Linked DNA regions of Danio rerio. The protein of the gene in region 5 purifies or fractionates together with the protein of the main gene of each other region. This does not show direct contact. Links are inferred from orthologs where the notes say so. Each region holds a gene or a part of one and is shown on either strand. Other genes may lie near its edges. The genes, in order: znf622, smc2, kpna2, copa and hectd1.

Region 1 (3,811 bases), on a different chromosome or scaffold from region 5:
CTCAAAATTCTACACACAATACCCCATAATGACAATATGGAAAAAGAGTTTTAAATTGTTGCAAATTTATTAAAAATAACAACCTGAAAAAAATCAGATGTACATAAGTATTCACAGCCTTTGCTCAATACTTTGTTGATGCACCTTTTGCAGCGATTACAGCCTCAAGTCTTTTTGAATATGATGCCACAAGCTTGGCACACCTGTCTTTGGGAATTTTTGCTCATTCCTCTTTGCTGTACCTCTCAAGCTCTATCAGGTTGGACGGAAAGCGACAGTGTACAGCCCTTTTCAGATCTCTCCAGAGATGTTCAATAGGATTTAGGTCTGGGCTCTGGCTGGGCCACACAAGGACATTCACCGAGTTGTTGTAAAGCCACTCCATTGATATTTTGGTGGTATGTATGTATCATGTATACATTGATATTCCATCCTGACTAGTCTTCCAGTTCCTGCTGCTTAACAACATCCCCACAGCATGATGCTGCCACCACCATGCTTCACTATAGGGATGGTATTAGCCTGGTGATGAGCGAAGCCTAGTTTTCTACAAACGTAACGCCTGGCATTCACTCCGAAGAGTTAAATTTTAGTCTCATCAGACCAGAGAATTTTGTTTCTTATGGTCTGAGAGTCCTTCAGATGTCTTTTGGCAAATTCCAGGCGGGGAGTGGCTTGCGTCTGGCCACTCTACCATACAGGCCTGATTGGTAGATTTCTGCACAGATGGTTGTCCTTCTGTAAGGTTCATACGGGTGTATGAATTTTTCAAATCATTCCCAGTCAACTAAATTTATCACAGGTGAACTTCAATTAAGCTGCTGAAACATTTCAAAACCATCAGTGGAAACAGAATGTACCTGAGCTCAATTTAGAGCTTCACGGCAAAGGCTGTGAATACTTCTCTACAACGTGGTTTTTCAGGTTTTTTATTTTTAATAAGTTTGCAACCATTTAAAAAAAAAAAAACTTTTTAAAATTGTCATCATGGGGTCTTGTCTGTTGAATGTGGAGGAAATAAATTATTGAATCCATTTTGGAATAAGGCTGGAACATAACAATTTGTGGAAAAAGTGAAGCGCTATGAATACTTTCTGGATACATTAAATAAATGATCCACTGGTTGTTGGTTCTATTCTAATGTTAGTTTTTTTAAAATCAGAAGTTATGATATTTTAATAATAGTAAAAAAATTAAATAAACCCGCAAATAGATAAATCATTTGCAATTAGAAATTAGACTGGGTAAATTTCCATTTCCACACAAACTATGAGTAATTAATAAATACTATACACTATTTTTTTACAGCATTTCTTAATATTTATTAATGCCAATTTATATATATTTGTTAATAAAAGCTTGTTAAAATCAGTTTCTAAGCTTAATTTACTTTATTTTGAAATAATAAAAAGGCATTTAAAATACATACAATTAATGGTAAGCAAAAATTATTATTGAAGTAAATGCCTTCCTTACTGCAATGTCTTCTTTGCGATTGAATAAACATTAAAAAATATAACTTTATAGTTACCATACTTATTTTGATGTGCAGTTTTTTTTATCAGAAATTATGTAATACTCAACAACAGTCCCAAAACAAAATATGTTTAAAAAAATGTTAACAATTGTTTGTGTACCTGAAATCATAGAAATCGGCAAACTCAAGTGCAGCGTCTCCATCTGTGAAGAGTTTGCAGTGACTCTTGTCGGTCATGTGTGCCTGAACCGCTTCTGTAGAGTAGAATGACTTCCCTTTTTCATTGCACCATAAGCACACCTTCCCAACGCCAACTTTCTCTCCTACAGAAAAAAACACAGATTAATGACAGAAACATTTATTAAAAAACAAATTCTAACAAAGATAAACTCAGTTCTCACTTACCCAGGTATGACATCAGTCCTCTCAGGTCCACCAGATACTCAATGTCTGGGATGAAGAAGCTGTGTGTTTTGGTCATGTGTGTTACGTTTCGACTGAGTGAGTGTGAATGATGTCCGCAGAACAGACAGTCTGTCACTGGGATTGAACCGGGGGCAAGAGCTGCCCCAGATGTAGAGTCCTGCTCCATCTCCTCTTCCTCTTCATCGTCATCATCCATTTCTTCATCCTCATCAACATCTTCCCAATCTGAGAAGAAAAAAAATGGTTCTCAATAACAGATTTGACAGTTATGAATCAAATTTAATAAACTATAGAACTGCTCTAAAAAACAGTAGCATCATTATTCAGTTCAGTTTAATGTTGAATAATTAGTTCAGTTTAATAAAATGCTTCATTTCAGTTCAGATCAAAGTTTTCCTCAAAGAAAAAGATTCTTAGCAGTAGGCACATTTCTTAATATACTGCTTTATATACCACAGAATATTTTAAAATAGTTTCTAAATATTTAACTATAAAATTAGCTAAGGTTTTAATTTAATTTTTGAATTTTGTTTTGCACAATTAATTTTAATGTTGATTCACCCGTCAAACATCATTAGGGAAATGGTTTGAACTTAGTAAAATAACCATTAGAGTTCAATTTGGGACAACACTACATACATATACAATGCTGTTGAGTGAGTAAGAGCATAGTGTGCCATTTAAGACGCAGCTTATGAGTTTAATTTTTTCCATTAAACACAGAAAAAAAATTCTTTAAAGAATTTTAGAAAGCAGTAGTTACTGACATCCACAGTAGAAAATACTACATTAGTCAGTTGGCTACCTTGTTCCAACATTCCTCAAAATTAATTTTTTATGTGTGTTCAACTCAAACAGGTTTGAAACAGTGACTGAAAGTACAAGTTTAGGGTAAACTATCCCTTTAAATGACAATAATACAAAATATCTGTTTTCTTTAGTTTTAAACCAAACCAATGAGACCAAAAAACAACAACAGTAGCACTTTGTATTTTATTGTAATCACCAGGCCTACCACGATAAAGATTTTTTTTAGTTGTGTGATATATTGGCACAGAAATTATTGCAAGGATAAGCAATCAAAGTGAGATTATTATATGCCATTGATTATACAACACCATAACAAAGCAAGTGAAACACTTTCACACAACAAAACACTTCTATCCCAAAGGTTCTTAAGATTCGGTAATCTAATGTAAAAATGTATATGTCCTATTATATATAGGCATGGGACGATAACCGTTTTCAAGGTATATGGCGATTTGAAAAAGTCAAGGTTTTAAAACCATCAAAATTTTCTGCTATACCTTTCCTAAGCTATGTGTCCGATTTTTTATTCACACACATCTAAAGTCATCTTAATGCGAGCGCTTTAATGGTCAAATAAATGCAAATTGTGTCAAAACACGGTGTTCAGTGATTATTCATATTAACCCTCATTTATGTAATAAACAAACGAGATGAGAATCAAAAGACATGTGAAAGTGAAACCATAAATCAGAAGTGTACTGCTCTTAAAGTGACAGCGCGCAAAATTCCTGCTAACGACCGTTTTTATCATTATTACTCAAACAACAAAAGGACAAAATCCCTCACTTCTCTTGACTGAAGGACTTTGAGCTAAAGATTTTCTTACAGTAAAGATGCTTAAAGCAGTTTGTTTCATGTTTTTAGTGTATTGTATTTAATTCCTTATTTACAGGGAGGAAAATAACTGTATATATACATTTTCCCCCAATCTCTGTTTAACGGAAAGGTAGTTTTTTTAACCCATTTCTAAATATAATAGATTTAATAACTCATTTATAATAACTGATTTCTTTTATCTTTGCAATGATGACAGTAAGTAATATTTCATTATTAAGCATTCAGCTTAAAGTGCAATTTAAAGACTTAATTAGGCAAGTC
Region 2 (4,506 bases), on a different chromosome or scaffold from region 5:
AGTCACGGTGAAAAGATTAGCCACCAATCCCTTCACCTTACTTCGCTCCCAGTTCCTTTCTGGGTCCCTGGATCAAAACAAACAGTACCACTGGATTAAGTTTCAAACATTAAAGCTAAATGAAGTCTATAATTGACACACTGTCTAGATGAAAACATCTTGCAAGTCCTCACGTGTATTCAAAGCGCAGGTTGGGGAATTGGCCCATGAGGGACTCATAAGCTTCTCTGAGCTGAATGACTTCCCGTGAAAACTGCCTCTTCTGCTCCAACAGACACTCCTCTCGTCCATCTGAAAAAAAAGAAAAAAGAAAAAGAAAAACACATCGAGTCAGTAGTTTAGACTGCATAAATAAATTCATGTATAATCTAGGCATAAGACTATAACCAGTTTCAAGGTTTACCGCAGTTATACCATTTCTACAGTATTTGATGTTGAAAGAAGATTTTTTTTAATTTGTTATAAAAAATCTGTTTTTGAAACTAATGAAGAGAGCAGAAGTCAATGATTTATTTTAATTATTTAGCCTGACATGTATACTAGACATTTAAAGAGAACATATTTCAGAGAAATATCACAGTATTGTAATTACTGCTATTCAAGGTTATCACATCTTCAGAAACGTATACTGACCTATGCCTAGTATAATCACATTCAATATGTACCTTCATAGTTGAGTTTCTTCATTTCAGCCTGTAGCTTTTCTATGCATTTGTTCACAGCCTCAAATGTGTCCTGATCTTTTTTGTAGCCACTGTCCATCTTCTTAACCTGAGCCTGCTTAGTCTTCAGCTCCTGCTGAGCGTGTTTCAGCTTCATCTGAGCCTAAGAGACAGAACATTTAAACAGTTTAACATCATTCTTTAATGCAAAACACATACAGCATAAGACACTGTTATGCTGACAGAAAACACATTAAAGAAACGTAACTGCGTATTACTAGGGCTGGGTGATTTAGCCTAAAAATTAAATATCAATTAATTGAACATTTTAACTCGATTACGATTAATGAACAATTATATTATTATTATCTCAGAGATCACTGACAGGTTTTTAACAGTAAATATGCTCACATATTACAAGTGAGATTTCTGAATGAAGGGTGCATTACTTGATTTTAAAATAATTGAAGAAAAAACACTATTTACTATCTATGATTATTTATTGAACGTCAATGCTGAATGACTGAAATTATAGCACACATTGCCTAAAACAGTCATCTTTGTCTTATATAAAAAAAAGTGAAAATAAATAACTTGCATTTTTGGAAACAAAATAAAATATTTTGAATGTTTTCATATTAAAAGTAGAAAATTAAACCTTCTAAATAAAGTAACTCTTGCATATCCTGTAAATAATATTTAAAACAGTGTATTTCTTGCATCTTCTATTAACAAATGTTTTAATTAAAAAAATTATTTTAATGTAATGGAAAGTATGGCGTCTCAACAATGAATCTCTGGCGCAGCTTCGTCAATCATTAATGTAGCAAAAGAAACCCAATAATAACAAACAGAGCAGGGTCATATGACTCCACATGCAGTAAGGCGAGTAATTAAAAACAATTTGACCTGGAAAAATAAGATTGGTTATTGGTTCTGAATGTCGATTTCAATTACTTTTCGATTAATCACCTATCCCTATGTATTACTATTACAAAAAAATAAATCAATGCAATGTTTCCAATAGATCCTGTTCTTTTGAGCTTTCTATTCATCAAATTGAGGTAAATTGTTGTAACCATTTAAACACCATTTAACACTAAACGTTTTATTATATTGTATTTTTTTATTTAAAGCCATGTGAGCATCTCAGGCAATTTTTAAGGCAAAACAATTACGAAAATGCTAATATAATAAAGAAACAAAAGTTAAATGATTTTTTTACTTTATGTCTTTTTAACTTTTATTGTAAAACAATGTCTGGCAAAAAAAAATAAAAATACTTAACTTCGTCCTAATGGGTTTACTTTTAGTAAATACCACTCAAAATAAATATTTTTTGAGCATCAAATCTGAATATTAAAAGATGCTTTCTTGAATTTAGCAAAATTCAGCTCTGCCATAACAAAAATAAAAGGATGCTCTCTTAAAATAAAATGTACAGTTTAGACAATTATTTTAAATTGCAAAAAAAAAAAAAAAACTTGTCAAAATAAATAAATAAAACCTCATCATTGCCCAAACGGTTAAACAGTAGACTCACAATATTCATAAAGTTGAGGGTAGTCTAGAGACATTATTGATTTTAGTAACACAGACAGTAAACAATACTTATATTACAATAGTAATAGTATGCTCAGTGAACAGTTATTGAGGTATATACTGTGGACAAAAATATTTGATCAATGTGAACACTGGCTGCATTTTACTCCAGTTTTTTATGCCTTTTTACCCGCTAAATTCACTGTCTTGTTTCCTCGAATATATGTCATTGATTACTTGACAGAAGTGCCCACTACTGGTGAAACATCTAAATGAGTTTAAATGAAACACCCCAAATCCTTGAGCAGTTGCAGCTGCATTGCATTCTGGGACATATAGGTGCTGGGGTGGACGAATGAATTTAAGAGTATGTCCATGTAATCTACCCTCATTCACTTGATGAAGTGAAACGCACTTTAAAATGGCAGTGAGGGATGCCCATAGGGAACAAGGGAAGGGAAGTTAGTGAATGTGTTAGTAAAAGTGCAGTGGAATGCAGCCAGTGTTGACGGTCTCTAAAGGTCACCTGTTTGGCCTCCGTCTCAGCTTTACTGATGTCATTCTTGCAGGTCATCATCTGGCCACTAAGTGTGGCTTCAGCTCCATCCTCATTGGCAGAGAGACCAGCTGACACTGCCTTGAAATGCTGCTGTGCTGCTTCCAGCGCTTCTGCGTCCTTCTGGCCCTCTTCCTTCACTGCCTTCAGACGCTCTACTGCTTTAGCGACCTCGGCCTCCTTAGCGGACATCACCTTCTTATCCTAGTGCAAACAAAGTACACGTTTAAATTGACACTTCCTTAAATCAACACACCAATTTTAAACAATTTATTAAAATAGTTTTTAAAAATATATTTATTAAATTTTAATTTCCATGTTGAATCCATTTCATAGTATATACAGGAATCAAAGAGTGAAATTCAATACCTTTTAAGACCTTTTTAAGACTCTTTGCACACTTTAAGACCTTAATACCACTTTTCAATCGTAAACACTGGTAAGATTTTAACTTGCAGCATATTTACTAAATATTAATGTAAGAAATTAATCCAAAACTAAACCATTATTGATATACTGAATAAAAATCTATTAAATCTAACTAATTCAGCAGGTTGGCGAATATAGAACTGCAGAAATAATGTTGCTGGCTTGATTACTGCAGTAAACAAAGCACCATAATGTTAAATCTAACAAGATTTTATTGATTTCATAAACTACACAGCATCCTGATATTCGCTGATTTAATTCAGGCAAACTATAGCATACAACTATACATTGCATAAACAAAAATGATATAAAATGTAATACCTTGCAAAATAGCATTTAAGACTTAATACTTTATATAAGGGGCTTAAATTTCTTTACATTTTTAAATATCAATTAAAGTATTTTAAACATCCAACACTCAAAAGGCAAGACATTAGATAAATAGGGTAAATATAAATTAAGAGTTCCCTAGTTGACTTAATACATTAAAAATTGTAAATATTTGGTAATTATTAAGTTATTATTTCATTATAAGTTCTAATTTGCATACATTTCTTGTTCAACATCAAGTTAAAAATTTGGTGTCATTTTCTTTTGACATATTACAAATCAAAGGCTTTTAAAGAGGGTGCTTTGAGCATCTATTTTTACTCACTGCATAATTCAACAAGTACCATAAACTGCCAGAAAAATAAAGTAGAATAAAATGTACAAACCTATAGAACAACCCACAGAATACAGATATGAATAAAACATTTGGTGTAAGTGCTATTAGGAGATGAAGGAGATTTATGTCTAAGAGAGTGAAGTAGTAAAAATATATATTGCAACTGAAATCTACAGACACAAACAGACACAATGCGCGAGACGACAAACAAGAATTGTATGCATCTTCAATATATCTCTTTTGGGTTCAACAGATTAAATAAAACTCAAATATTTGGAACCACTTGAGTAAATTTCCATTTTTGGGTGAACTACCTTTAAGTCAAAGAGTGGAAAACCAAAAAGCAAATACAAAAGCCTAATTTGAATAAAGGACAGCATCATCTCATACCTCCTCCATGTTTTTGACCAGCTCTTTCCTCTTCTTGGTCTCATCTTTCAGGTTTTGCTTCTTCAGATCCAGGGCACTTTGGGCCTTGGTGTCCACTCTCTGTGCTTCAGACAAGGTCTCTTCCAGCGTCCTCAATACCCCCCCAACCTCCTGGAGAGAAAGAGAGACAGACACAGAAATGAGACGAGCTAATGGAGTACAACAGGAGACAGAAATATTCAATCAATCAACCGCACACTTTTCTAACAGGTATCAATTTG
Region 3 (5,214 bases), on a different chromosome or scaffold from region 5:
AATAATAATAATATCTATTAAGCTTAGAGTGTAAATAAACAAGAACAAAACTAATTAAACCGATAATTTTTATTATTTGCTTGAGAATCAGGTCAAAAACATTTGATAATTACGGAGGACAAGAATTGTAATTAAATAGTGAAAGGCAAATTCCAAATGTTTCAGAATTTGTGCATGAAAATATAATGAATTTGTCTGGGGTTTTCTTACATTTTCATGCGCAAATTCTGAAACATTCGGAATTTGCCTTTCACTATTTAATTACAAATGTTGTCCTCACTAATTATCAAATGTTTTTGATACTTAATTATCTGAGGAATAGTTATTTTTAAAACTTCTTAAAAAGTCATAAAAAGACAAATTTTTGCGATATTCAATCTGTAAATTGGTCTAAATCAGCTTCACATTATTTGGTATAATAATAATAATAATAATAATAATAATAATAATAACAACAACAACAATATTTTAACCAACTTAGATTGTAATATTGCAATAAATACATTTCTCAAAATTATTTTTACCAAATTACAATGGACACCCATCTGAGAATAACTTTAAAACCAATTTAAATCCATCTATATAAATAACTTACAGGAAACACAGACAAATCAGGAACAGCCAGCAGAGCCAAGAGGGGGGGGATTGCACCATGCTTAATGACTCTATCCCTATACCCAGAACCATCACCTACACACACACAAACACAAAAAGAACAAATCAATTTGTACACCCACATTAAAAAGAAAATTAAGGGATCTAACTGAAATATTCTACTTAGCACCCACCAGCGATGTTTCCAAGAGCCCAAACTGCCTGCTCGCTAATATGAGCATGTGGTGACGAGATGAGGCTGATGAATGCTGGGATTGCCCCTCCCTGGACCACGGCGCTGGTCTGGTCAGATGTTCCAGATGCAATGTTGGTCAGAGCCCAGGCCGCCTCAAACTGTATAGGAGGAGAGTCTACCAGGCTCAGGAAGCCCACGAACTTAGGAATCAGACCAGCACTGATTATGCGGTCAATAGGTGGATGTCTCTCTCTTGACAGCAACTTCCTGCATGTCAGTGTAAGAAATGAAGCTTAAATACAAGTTGAGATGAATAGAGCTATCTGCACATGTATAAGCAATCTACTGGGAATTACCTGGCAGCTTGTGTGGCCTGGACTTGAGTCTCCAAGTTATTACTATTCACACCATTTACAATCTCCTCCACTGTCCAGTGCTGTGCCTGTATGAACAGAATGGAGATTTTATGAGGTGTAACATTGAAGGCAAGACCTTACAGGCAAAAAAAAAAAAAACGAAAAAAAAAAAAAAAACGCACATCTCAATATTGCAAGTTTGGTCCTTTGGCCTTTCATATTACATTTTTTAGGGTATCAGAAGGAAATCCAAAACACTTTAGGGTTTATTTTAGCACGTTATCAACACATGTCTGTAGATTTAAAATTGCAATACATTTCTAAAGTATTTTCCCCCATCCAGGACAAAGCCATGGATATCCATTCCAGCAGCACTTGCATATGCCAAACTTGTGCATATGCATCAACTATCTTCTTGTGCCTCATGTACTTTTGTAAAATACTTTACTAATTTTAAAGTTTATTTTATTTTATTTTTTTTACAGTGAGAAGCACTTATACAAAATTTGACATATACATATTTACTCAAAAAATAAAATTACAAGTATTAAAAATATCTAGCGGTTTTGGTGTATTTTCTGAATTAATGCGTCAGAAAAACAAAAGTTGAAACTAACTTTTGAACCTGAACCAGTGTTTACATTTTTGCTGTAGAGATACATGCAAAAAGTGTATTTTTAAATCAAATCATTTGCATATTTAAAGCAACATTTAAGCTCCGAATTAGGTACATTCAAAACTATTCTGAAAGCACATCGGTTTAGCTGTGCCTTTACTGAATAAGCACTGTGCTACATCTGGCAGATCACACTATTGTCTTTTTGTTTTAACTCTTAAAACATTTTTTAAAAATTAATCCCTTTTATTATTGGTCTTTATTTTCTTGTCTCTTTTATTTCTGTTTATGTACAGTAAGGCACTTTGGACTACCACGGTGTATGAAATGTGCTATATAAACCTGCCTTGCCTTAAATCTTTAAAAGGAATAGTTCACCCCAATATGAAAATACACTCATTATCTACTGACCCTCAAATGGTTTCAAAACTTTATGAGTTTCTATATTCTGATGAACACAAATTATTATTTTTTTTACAGGGAGCGGAATAGCTTTAACCATTGACTTCCATATTTGTATCTCCTAGTATGGAAGTCAAAGGTTACAGGTTTCCTTTATTCTTCTTAATAACTATATATACTTTTGTGTCCAACAAAACTTAGAAAGAGTTAAAATTAAAAATGACGAGTAAATGACAGAGTATTCATTTTGGGGGCTCAGCTAATTTGGGAAGTAGAGTAATAACAACCAAAGTGTCTTATTTGAAATTTCTTGAGTTTACTGATCTTGAGCAGCAAGTCGGCTGATCTGCATACCTGACAGTTCTGGCTTTTCTCTTGGAGAGGAGAGGTGGCCTCATCCGGAAAACTGCTCACGTTTCTCCTCTTCAAAATCTGCTCGTCTTTCTTTGCTTTACGAAGCTCGACGTTGACTTCGATCCTTCGACGTCTCAGCTCCTAGATTACAGTATTTAACATTTATATGAAAGCTAATCTGAAATACGATATATTTAAAAAGTAACAATAACATTCGACTCTCTTTATGCTGTTTTCATGCTATTCTGTTATAGCATGTTATCTATAATGCAAAGTGGTCACTTACAGTGGCATCTTTTCCTTTGTTTTTGAACTGAGTGAGTCGAGCGGTGTTCTCATTTGCAGCAGACATTTTAATGGAGTTTGATTGATCACAGTGTGTCGTAGCCTGGAAAATAAAATATATCCGTGACATATAAAACAACAATACATCACAATCAATTCACATTTCATAAATACATCTTTATATAATGGTATTAACATACTATTTAAATACGAGCAAAAGTAGGAACTCACCACTTTCAACCAAAGGACTGTGGAGGAGGAAGTATGACACAGATCTTTAAACTCGCGGTTTGAACAATCTGATTGGCCTGTTCGAGCAAAAGCATCTTCCTATTGGGCCGTTTTGAAAAATCACACCGCTGGCGTGAAGACGTGGGTCACACATTATCGCGAGATCTGCTGAGAATGCCGATTATGAACTTGAATATTTTGGGCTTTAAAAAGATACATGACCTTCAAACAGATACAAATGCATTACATTTTCAGAATATACATTTCAGAAATATACATGAATATTTTGGGTCTCCCTTTGTTACTGATACCTGGTTGGACTTATTGGGTTGACGTTTAAAAGCCGGATTATTTTACTTTCAGTAAATATATTTATCATATGTTGTTGTTGAGAGGTTGTGGATTCATTTCCACCCACATTTAATATTTGTTTCGTTTTATACCCACATTTAAACAATACTACAGTGACTGTGTAAATGTAAGATAAGCTTAATTATTCATTTTTAATAAAATATACTGTCTCTTTTTGATGTTTTTCTGTTAAGGGAGGGGCAAATGAGCTCTAAGTTTAATTCTGATTGGTCAATGGCGCTTGGCATTCTGATGTTTAAAATTCTGTGAAGAATTGACGGATATGAAGCAACAACACCACGTGTTTAACGTTACTGAATGGAGACAGAACATTTATACACCATTGTACGCTAACAAATGATAAACAATAGAAGTTGGTGGAAGGTATGTATCATTTCACGGTTTAAATTATGTAACTGTAGAACTTGTAAGTGAAACTACACTTTCTTTGGGCTTGAAAAACAGCTTACGTTGATGGTAACACAGCTTGCCTATTGTTAATGACATTTTTATTCGTTTTCCTTCAGCTTATTCCCTTTATTCATCAGGGGTCACCACAGTGGAATGAACCGCCAATTTATCCTGCATGTGTTTTACACAGCAGATGCCCTTCGAGCTGCAATCCAGTACTAGGAAAAATCCATACACACTCAAATACTACGACCAATGGGGTAAATGTACACATACGTTTAATTTCATTCAGCCAGCCTCAGAGATTGTCGTCCATACAAAATTGGCCAGTTAAATTTCTAATTTCTTTAAAAAAATTAAAAAAACAGCGATCTTCACTGCTTGCCTGAGATACGACACAAAAAGTGGGTATCAGACCAAACAAGAAGCCCTGCATTAAACTATATTTTTCCATGCCATGTCTTTAAAATATGGAAATTAATTTTACTTCAGTATTTTAAATAGAGTTTCTGAGCTAGCCTGCTGCTAATGGTGGCACCTGCGTTTAAACGGTTTTTCGTCTCTTTTTACACTTTTACAATCAAATGGATGCTATTTAACTGATTATATCTGAATTACAACATTAATGCTGTAAAAGAAACTGTAAAATTGAAAATAGTCACATAGAGCTTTCACTGAAAGTTCATCATTGGCTGAAAAACACTAGCTGTTCATATAGCCCATTTAGTTTATTGATCTATAGCGCATGGCTTTGGACTGTGGGGGAAACCGGAGCACCCAGAGGAAACCCACGCGAACATGGGGAGAAAATGCAAACTCCACACAGAAATGCCAACTGACCCAGCTGGGACTCGAACCAGCAACATTCTTGCTGTGAGGGGACAGAGCTAACCACTGAGCCTTCATGTCACCCCATTTAATTCAGTTCATTAAAACTACTATTTAAAGTTTATGAATATATAGATCTGGGATTGCAGCTAGCTTTGAAACAAATGATGCAAAGTATACGAAAGTCACATAAATAAAAAGACTTTATAGAATATTATAATCCTAAAATCATAGAATGAACATGGTTATTGCCATACAAAGTCTGTACCAAGATGGAAAAAGTGCACTTAAAAATATAACAAAAAAAGTTTATTGTATTTAGTATATCCTCAACTATAAACATGAGAAAATATGTGGTTTGTTGTGCGCCTTTTAACACAACCCACACACAAATATGAACCGTTGTGTTAAGATCATGAATCTATCCACGAATACACCATATTCTAAAAAGAAATCCAATATGAATTTTCCAAAATATGAATCGGCATATTGTTCAGGGGGTCTACTGAGGATTACATTAGGTACTGCTTTTCAAATGGAAAGAATATAGAGACATCTTAATCAATGTAGAAGAGAGAATCCCGTCCCCT
Region 4 (4,506 bases), on a different chromosome or scaffold from region 5:
TAAAATATAAAAAATACAGTTACATAAATGTTCTCTCAAGTGCTTGATTGGCTTACAGAGTGCATGCGGTCAAGTACAGCAAATCGGTTCCTGGCCACCCAAACTGCAGTCAGACCAGAGGAGCGTTTTCCCTCAGGAGCTGGAAACATACAGAAATAATGAAACTCCACATTTTGCACATAAAACAATAAGTTCTAAAGAGAAAGGTCCAAATGTTACCATCAGGATTCTGGGAGTCACTCTCTCTGGGAATGGAGTACAGATCATAGGTGCTGTTTTCCAAATTAGTAGCTCTCTAGAGAACAAGGAGAAAAAAAAATTTATCTTGATTTTAGGGGTCCAAAATGAAAATGTACTAATCATATACTTGCCATCTAGTATTTCAAATCATTTAGGAGTTTCTTTCTTCTGCTAAACACAAAGAGAAAAACCTGGAACCATTGTCACTTCCATAGTAGAAAAAAAACAATATTATGGAAGCCAATGATTATAGTTTTTCAGCTTCTTCAAAATATATCATTTTGTGTTCAGCAGAAAAAAGTAAAACATGATTGAAACAAGAAATGGGTGAGTGAATTATGACAGAATTTTCATTTTTTGGGTGAATCATCCTTATTTATGAATATACTTGAGCAGGGTACTCACAGTGCACAACAGCACAGCATTTTCCGCTGGGTTGTAGGACATGCTGAACACTGGGAATTTGGATCCACTGTGAAGATAAAAGAAACAGTTCAACTGAAGAATTCAAGTGCACACTATCAATTTTAGATACTTTCAGGGTCTATAAACTCAAAGCACAATCAAAAAAGGGACAAAACTGCACATACCTGCGTAGCTGCATCACAGCTGTATCTTTACTGCTGTTAAAGTCGAGCTGACGCAGGAAACGATCCTTTACATAGTAAAGCATGTTGCCATACACTGCATAAGCTGGACGTTCCCTTTCCAGTTTAAACACCAGCATTCCACTGTCATGGCCTACGAAGTTACATAAAAGCAGTCAAATGTGGAACATTTAATCGCCCCAAAAAACACCCGATCAACATGATTAGTAATCTACCAGCAGCAAACAGGTTGAGGTTGGGGTGAGCACCCAGAACCCAGAAGCGGTCGTGATCTCTGCGAAAGGTCTGGACGCCTGTTCTCTTGGACATATCCCACACACGGATGCTCTTGTCCTCAGAGTTGGACAGGATGAGCTCCTGACGGGGGTGAAACACCGCACAGGACACATTGTTGTAGTGTCCTCGACAGGTGTCCAACTCCCATGCTTTAGACTCTAGAGGAGGGGATAATAAACAATAGAATTAATTCTACTAATAGGGTGAATTTGTTTGATACGCAATGTCTGACAGGATAGCCTGTTTTAAGGAAAACAAAGATATTTAAAACTTTAGACAGAGCTGTAGAATATAATACTTTTATAATTCAAATTGAGCAATTCTGCATCGACGAACAAAAACCAAATAATTTTAATACGTTTTTAAATAATGTAATTAAACAGGCCTATCATGCATACATCATACATAAGTTTAATTGTAGAAAATGTACTTGTTTATCTAGTATACTTCAGGGTTTCCCCTATCTTTATATCAGGGGGGCGACCCGCCCTACCAACGGCTTTCCCAGCCCCCTTGAAGTCAAGTTAATTTTATTTTTTTAAAGTGCCAGATCACAACTTTTTAATAGCTGCATGTAATACCTTACTTACACAATGACATGAACGGCTCGAAATTGCGACCATTGTGGTCGCATATGCGCCCGAAATTTAATCTATGCGACCTTATAATATATTTGGAAGCATTTGTGCGACTGCATATAATGGTTGTAGTGTGACCTGTTGATTTTTTCTTTTCTAAAAACGTGCTGAATCGGTCTTCCCTAACACTATATTGGTTCATATTAGCTGTCAATCACTCAAGGCTTTACGCTGTCAGATGACAGGGAGCTTCTGTGACCGAGGGTAATGCAAATGGCTGAAGTTTAAGAAACAAGCGATGAAACATACACAGATTTGCAAACCCACCCAAAGTTACAAGTAATATTGCTGATGAAAATGATCATGCTATGAATGTTGATTCGCAAGCCGAGACCAATCAAGTGTTTTCTGAGAGAGTGCTGAAACACTCGGTGACGATCAGCTGTTTTAATGGCCGGAATCTCGATGCACTGCATTCACTGCGTTAACCCTAACAAAAAATAACTATATTGTTGAAGTGTTTAGACAGCAAAGAGACGCGATGCTGTGTTGCCAACTGTAATTAAAACAAGTGGAAAAAGAATTGTTTAGAGACATGGGTTGTCAGTGTTGCATTTATAAAGGTGCTGCAACAAAGGTTTTGTTTCCATTTCCCTGCTATGGGAGCTAAGCTGAACTGACCTGGGGAATACATTGGTTTGTTAACACGCAACACAAATGTGTTTGTAAGGTTTTACCCGAGAGCTTTTCGCATCTGGAAATAGAAAAATCCGGATTTGCCACTCGTCTTCTTTTAAAAAGAGGATGCAGTTCCAGTACAGTTGGTGTTGATTGTTCTGTCTGTACAGATTTGGGAAGTGTGCGATCAGTGTTCTTCATATACGTTTATTGAGATGACAAAGTAAGTTAGTATCATCAGCAGTACTCTTTCGATTTTTAAAGACGTACCTTAGTCAAAATAATTTAGTTACTAAGTTTACAGTACGCTAATATCACTACAATATTATGGACTGAAAGATCTGCAGTAAATGCTGCTTTTCGCATGTAAACATGTAAACACCGCAATCAAACTGTTACCGTTGTGTAGGATTTTCGCCGCATTTCATGGTAGGGTAGTCTATACACACATGGCTGTTTGATGCTATTCTCTGCACCTACCGAGTGCATTTAAGTTACCGAGAAACACAGAGGTTTTTTCTCCCATCCAGTGTGCAGTATCAAAAATTCCATTAAAACAACACCAGCAGTTCCTCGCATCCGTTTGTCACGGGGGGCATGCATGTTCCCAAACGAAAATGAAAGTGCCAAACTGCAGTTAAAGTTGATAAATTAAGAATAACACGAAATTACACAAAACTCTGGAGTAATTGTGGACAGCGTGGTGACGCAAAGGCCTAATATGTATTTGTTCATGGCCCATTATTGTAGTAATGATTTATTATTGATTAATTATTCATTATTAAGTGAGTGGGAGAAAAATATCCAAACAATAAGAATTAAAGAAAGCAACATTGGCTGCGTACACATAATTTGACATTGTACAAGTGGTTGGTACAACTTTAAGACATTATAATGTTGGAGTTATCCACAGCGTGAGTGAACTTGGTGCAAATGAGTACATTAAAGATCTGGACTTTAGCTGCTGACAAAATCTCCTTGTTTATTGCACAAAGAAATGATCAAGATCCAGAATGATTGCCTTGCTTTGTATAACTGATATTTGATACTGTATTCTGTTCTTGTTTTTATGTTAACTTCTATTCATTGGATTACCCAGTTTTAAAGGGCCATGAAAACCCCTCGTTTCAGCAGGGTGTTTTCACACCTCTACTTTGGAAAAAGTCAGAAAAGTGGGCGTGTCCAGCTCTGTTTAGAGGGGAGTGTCGGAGGAACTAAAGTGGGAGGGTGTGGGAGTGTCTATTTGGGCACGCGCGAGTTTCAGTCAAAATACACACAGGAGAAAGTGATGGTGTTTAACCTACATGGACATATGTAGTCGAATTATTTGCCAAATTATTAAATGTTCGACTTTAACTGCAGTTTGGCTCTTTCATTCAGGGAATTCATTCATGCCCCTCACGACAAACGAGATATTTGATTCGAGAGAACTGATCTAAGTGTGTATTTTTCATGCAATGTTTGATACCGCACGGCGAATGAGAGAAAAAAAATAACTCAGCATTTCCCGGAAACTTAGATGCACACGGCAGGTAGCGTCAGAAAGCCGCGTGTGTTATTCCGGTCACAAAATGCGGTGCTAACATGTTTAGTGCAATAGTTAACTTAATTCGATACGAACAAACTGAATAAACAAAGAGCACTGGTAGCTCACTTACCAAATCTGTAGAGACAGGACAATCACCAGCAACTAGAGCCGCGTCTTTATGAAGAGAAGACTACAAGCGAATCCGGATTTCAGCGTTTGCAGATGAGAACAGCTCTCAGGTAAACAATAATCCTCCTTAGACACGCAAGTTATTGTTGTTGAGCGTCGCGTACACTGTTAATCCACACGTGATCCAGATGAGCTCTCACAGAGAGAAAATGAAAACGAAACTTAATGGCAGCAAACTATAAAAGCAACACTTCACGCTTGTTTTGCCAACCCAACGTGGCGTCTCTGTGGTGTAACACGGTGACCCTAATGAATATTAATGAAGTTGCACAATAGAGCGCGCTGATTGGTTTGACCCAAGCCTTACTCATGCATTAATGCATCACACTGTAAGACGTAATAAGACTCACTCTGGCACAGACGCCCAGTCTGCACGCTGGAATACAACGCTATTATGTCATGACCGTGA
Region 5 (4,506 bases):
AAGAACAGACCTAGAGGCTCCAAATGCAGTGCAGGTAAAATAAAGCTGCCGGGTTTCAAAGGGTATGAGGAAAGGACACTTGCTGGTTAACTGTTCACACCAGTCGGGGAGAGCCCCACTAGCCAGAGCCAATGGCTCCTGAAAGACAAACGTTATTTAAAATTTTTTAACCATACAAAAATGCATTTTAGAATAAATAATGGTAACTTACTGAACTTCTTGAATAATGTTAATTTAAGTGTAAAATCAGCTTGACACTTAAAAATAAAATCCTGAAAATTAGGGCTGATTTTTTTTTTTTTTTTTTTTTTTTAAGTAGTTTAGTAGTCAGGGTAGTCTTAATGTACTCAGAGGAGTCTTTTTTTTCAGCTGTTGTAATCTGAAAATAACATACCTTGGAATGTAGTAAATCATGACTGACCAAATAGATTTAGGTATTCCAGAGAGCAGTGCAATCAAATTTGTTTTAAATTATTTGGTCATATTTTTTACTGTCTGTCTTGTGCTCTAAATGACATCCATGTCATTTCAAAATGGACCAAAGTGTTAACAATATAAAAAATAAAATAACACTTTACCGACTCTTAACTTTTGAATAGTATTGAATCTACAACAAATAACCAATGCATAATTAAAACATGTCAAATTACTTCAATCTGCTGCAGGATTTTGGTTGTAATTTTTTTGCTGGTGAATTCCTCAGGTGATGCATTGAACTGTAGCTCTTCCACATCTGCACAAATAAATGTGAATTATAGGCAAATACTAAATTTAAAAACAAAGAAACAAAAAGGATTGACACGATGCTGCGAGGACGAGCTGCTTACCTTCCTGTAGTGTGCGTCCAGATGTAGGTTCTCCTCCGATGGTGAAAAGGATGCGCAAGAGCTGCAGTACATCCTCTACGCTGCAGGCGCTCTGACCCGAGCCCGCTTTAGCCTGAGCCTGCTCTCTTGCAGCACTCAAGATATCACAGCTTTGCGTCGTGGACAACGTCCCTGAACTCAGGCCTGAAGATCTGCAGCCACGCTCACAGAAGTCCTGAAAACCATACAAGCACATTTAATAATGCACCCCTAATTTTGACTGCCAATCCTTATCTCAGCAGACCTATAGCAACGCAAATCTAACTAAATTATACAGTTTATGGACAAAAACGACAACAGAAATGCTAAAAAAAAATAACAACAAAAACAAATCAAAGCAAATAAAGAATAAAGTCCACAATGACAGCTAAAACTTTAATGGTACGACATTTACACCCATTTAGCAATAAAATGTACAAAAGGACAGCAACAACTGTCTAACAGGTGGCTACACAAGTGACAGTCAAGCAAGAAAGAGGAAAATATACTTGAAAAACAGAAGGGAAAATAAAAATGGTATGTATATATATATGCATATCCGATGCCATTCTATACCTTGTATGCAGCTATGAGCTGCGAACAATTTCTGTTTTTCCTAATACTTTTATTAGAGCCGGTTAATTTCCAGTGGCGCAGGAAAGTTGAGTCTGCATTCTTCTGCATGTAGGTTATCAAGTCATTCTTTGGTAATTCATCTGTGCCAAGGTACTGTTCCACATGCTCTACAGACCAGCAACCCTACAACAGGAAGAACCAAATGTTGGTCTTTCCTGATTGTAAAGTCTCACGCAATACACATGCATTACAGTAGATTTAACCACTAGAGAGGCCCGTGCATTTAACAATAGATACCACTGGGGGTCATCTCACAGTCTGCTGGCTTTAAGGTTAGTGACCACTGACAGACAGTTTACTGAGAGGGAGCATTTACCATTGGGGACAGCCACAGAAAAATCACAGCCAAGATTTCAATGAGCTGAAGAGAGCGAATGAAAGGAGGATAGGAAGAGAGATTGAGAGGAGAAGAGATGTTAAAAAATGTGCTATTACCATCTTTCCGCTCTCTCTTTCTTTGTCGGAATCCTTCAATTCTCTATACATTATCCTGAAAAATAACAATGTTTGTTAGCAGGTGTCTAAACATGACTGTGTTGATATAAAAACAACTGTTAAACAATGGACTCACGTATACGTAGGCTCCCAGATGCGTCTGAGCTTGTCAGGTTTAATAGCACCGTTGCATGACAGCTGGAGAAGTTTTTGGACATAATAGAAAATGGTGGACTTGTAATTGGTGAGAGGTAGTTCTACTTCTCGAGTAGTTCCTAGACCTGCTACTTTTAAGATGAGAGCCAGACGAGGTGAAGGAGCGCACTCCACCTCCTCCTGTACCTCTGAACGAGGTGTTCCTGCAAGCACAATAGATGTATGTTTTTCGCATTGTAAATTCAAAACAAAAAGCAGAGATTGACTCAGCAGTAAACAAATTTGTTAGTTAGCCCTAACAGGAGCCATGCTAATAAAATATTCCATTAAAAAAAAAAAAAAAAAAATCGAATATAAAATTGATAAAACTATCAAAAATAAAGTGCCAACCCAAAATATTACAACATATAACAGTATTTTTTCCCCAGAGATGGGTTGTGGCTGGAAAGGCAACTGTTGCGTAAAACATTTGCTGGATAAATTGACGGTTCATTCCACTGGGGCAACCCCAGATTAATAAAGGGACTAAGCCAAAAAAAAAAAAAAAGAATGCATGAATGAATGAATAACAGTATTTAATAAGGAGGGACAAAATTTTCAGCTGCCAATTATCATCAGGCAAAAACAGCATTTTTGGTTTTTGGCCAAAAAAGAAAAAAAAATGGCCAAAACATTAAAAGCAAAAACAAAGGCTTTTTTCATCCCCACTTAGTCGAAGTCACTGCACAGTGTGAAGAGGCTTTCACAACAGACATGGGAAACACTGCACTGAGCTATGAAAAGGCAGTCTTTTTAGCGTCTGCTCAGATAATGTGCTTACAGGACATTTCTACGTAGTAAACTTTAGCACCTTCCGCTTGTAAAAGTAATACTGTGCTCTCATTGCAACGTTAGTATAATGTAGCCACTTGACTTAAAATGATTAGGAAAACACCTGTAAGCTGACAGATACAGTACCTGGTGGGGGGATTTCCAGGTCAGTAGTTTGCTGGACGTTGGTCCTGCCTGGTCTAGGGTCAAATGCAGGTACTAAAGCAGAAAACTGTCGTTTCAGCACAAAGTCGTCATCCCAGGTCCTGCGACGGCCCCCTTTGGTTTCATACTCCTCTTCCTCCTTTAAAAGCAAAGCAGTAAAGCTCTCTTACACCTAATGTTCAACTGCTCAAAAATATGACACATATTTCAACTAACTGAAGACATGCTACACAGAGGAGCCATGCTGGTAAACGAGCATACAAACCAAATAAATGTATAAATCATTTAAAAGATAGGAACACCAAATACATTCCTAACCAAGAAATACACCACTGTTCACCAAACTAAAAACAAAAACACCAAATGTCAAGTAATCAGAGAGGAGAACACCAAGAAAACCAAAAATTAAGGATCTTCACTGTACTATTATTGAAACTACAACAGGTTTTACCCTATGAATATGAACGTGGTAACCAAGGTTGACCCTGGACCGTACCAAAACTTCCTCATACTCCTGTTCCTCCTGATTGTCATCCTCATTTTCATCATCGTCATCATCTGGCTCCGGCAAATCTTCTTCATCATCCAACTCTGCAAGCAAAGTGTTGGCCCGACAACTGTCCAGGAAGTCTGAGCAAAAGAAAGGCAATGAAAAGAATTAGGTTTCATGCTGCTAATAATAAACCTTTCAATTCAGAGAAAAACACTGTGAAGTTAGTTAATTAGCAAAAACATTAGGGATTAGACATCTGCAAAAACAGCAGACACACTAGAACAAGACAGGATGAGAGATTGTTTTTGTGTAAGCAAATGATAAATGCAATATGGCCTACCATAGAGGGAAAATTCAGCCTCCTGACCTGTGTCACTCTCGCTAGATGTAGAGGTCAGGCTGGTCGTCAGCGTGTTACTGAGCAACTGGCCGACGGACAAACCTGTAGTTGCCGTGGCTACATTATTGCTGCTGGTTACTATAGAGGTGGACATTGTAACAGTTGAGGTGGTACCAGTGGTTGTAAGGTTAGGAAAGCTCTGCGCACCCATAAGTGGAGAAGCTGCAAACAAAACCCAAAAACTGTGATTAGTCTACAAAAAGAACAAAATAAGCAGGTAACTGAAAAAGCTTGCTCTACAGGCTAAACATGCAAATCATGGCAGAATTAGAATCATGTTAATATTCACAGAACTGTTTAATTGTGCTGGATGTATCTCGATAATGACTATAACTAAAAAACAAGAAGTTTTAGTCCTCTATTAGTCCTGAAAAGGGTAAGGCAGCAAATCAAATGTCAATACAAAAAAAATTCAAAATTACTAATTAATAATAGAATAAAATTAAATTAATAATATAAATTTTTAATAGGGATGTAATGATTCACCTGACTCATGGTTCGATACGATTCACGATACAAATCTCACAATTTAGTCATGATTTTTAAACAAAATTTGAAACAAATGT

The links.
Region 1: the proteins of hectd1 (region 5) and znf622 purify together in Homo sapiens (affinity purification with mass spectrometry; 4 studies listed by BioGRID, with this or other methods). This does not show direct contact. The link is inferred for Danio rerio from reciprocal best matches to the Homo sapiens genes HECTD1 and ZNF622.
Region 2: the proteins of hectd1 (region 5) and smc2 purify together in Homo sapiens (affinity purification with mass spectrometry; 3 studies listed by BioGRID, with this or other methods). This does not show direct contact. The link is inferred for Danio rerio from reciprocal best matches to the Homo sapiens genes HECTD1 and SMC2.
Region 3: the proteins of hectd1 (region 5) and kpna2 purify together in Homo sapiens (affinity purification with mass spectrometry; 3 studies listed by BioGRID, with this or other methods). This does not show direct contact. The link is inferred for Danio rerio from reciprocal best matches to the Homo sapiens genes HECTD1 and KPNA2.
Region 4: the proteins of hectd1 (region 5) and copa purify together in Homo sapiens (affinity purification with mass spectrometry, with the first as the bait; 3 studies listed by BioGRID). This does not show direct contact. The link is inferred for Danio rerio from reciprocal best matches to the Homo sapiens genes HECTD1 and COPA.

The regions. Positions count from the first base shown.
Region 1 is NC_133177.1:44,617,980-44,621,790, forward strand, and holds part of znf622 (cytoplasmic 60S subunit biogenesis factor ZNF622), read right to left. Parts: intron 2,129-3,811; coding exon 1,883-2,128; intron 1,801-1,882; coding exon 1,638-1,800; intron 1-1,637. UniProt on the Homo sapiens protein: Pre-60S-associated cytoplasmic factor involved in the cytoplasmic maturation of the 60S subunit.
Region 2 is NC_133176.1:21,047,497-21,052,002, reverse strand, and holds part of smc2 (structural maintenance of chromosomes protein 2), read right to left. Parts: intron 4,397-4,506; coding exon 4,247-4,396; intron 2,965-4,246; coding exon 2,731-2,964; intron 826-2,730; coding exon 666-825; intron 292-665; coding exon 174-291; intron 68-173; coding exon 1-67. UniProt on the Homo sapiens protein: Central component of the condensin complex, a complex required for conversion of interphase chromatin into mitotic-like condense chromosomes.
Region 3 is NC_133178.1:24,117,898-24,123,111, forward strand, and holds the start of kpna2 (importin subunit alpha-1), read right to left. Parts: upstream 3,056-5,214; 5' UTR 3,004-3,055; intron 2,907-3,003; 5' UTR 2,871-2,906; coding exon 2,805-2,870; intron 2,660-2,804; coding exon 2,519-2,659; intron 1,233-2,518; coding exon 1,147-1,232; intron 1,058-1,146; coding exon 789-1,057; intron 691-788; coding exon 596-690; intron 1-595.
Region 4 is NC_133177.1:40,165,795-40,170,300, reverse strand, and holds part of copa (coatomer subunit alpha), read right to left. Parts: intron 1,283-4,506; coding exon 1,064-1,282; intron 982-1,063; coding exon 831-981; intron 713-830; coding exon 646-712; intron 296-645; coding exon 220-295; intron 140-219; coding exon 57-139; intron 1-56. UniProt on the Homo sapiens protein: The coatomer is a cytosolic protein complex that binds to dilysine motifs and reversibly associates with Golgi non-clathrin-coated vesicles, which further mediate biosynthetic protein transport from the ER, via the Golgi up to the trans Golgi network.
Region 5 is NC_133192.1:30,170,098-30,174,603, reverse strand, and holds part of hectd1 (E3 ubiquitin-protein ligase HECTD1), read right to left. Parts: intron 4,103-4,506; coding exon 3,881-4,102; intron 3,678-3,880; coding exon 3,499-3,677; intron 3,187-3,498; coding exon 3,030-3,186; intron 2,276-3,029; coding exon 2,053-2,275; intron 1,972-2,052; coding exon 1,917-1,971; intron 1,605-1,916; coding exon 1,422-1,604; intron 1,042-1,421; coding exon 828-1,041; intron 734-827; coding exon 651-733; intron 139-650; coding exon 11-138; intron 1-10. UniProt on the Homo sapiens protein: E3 ubiquitin-protein ligase which accepts ubiquitin from an E2 ubiquitin-conjugating enzyme in the form of a thioester and then directly transfers the ubiquitin to targeted substrates.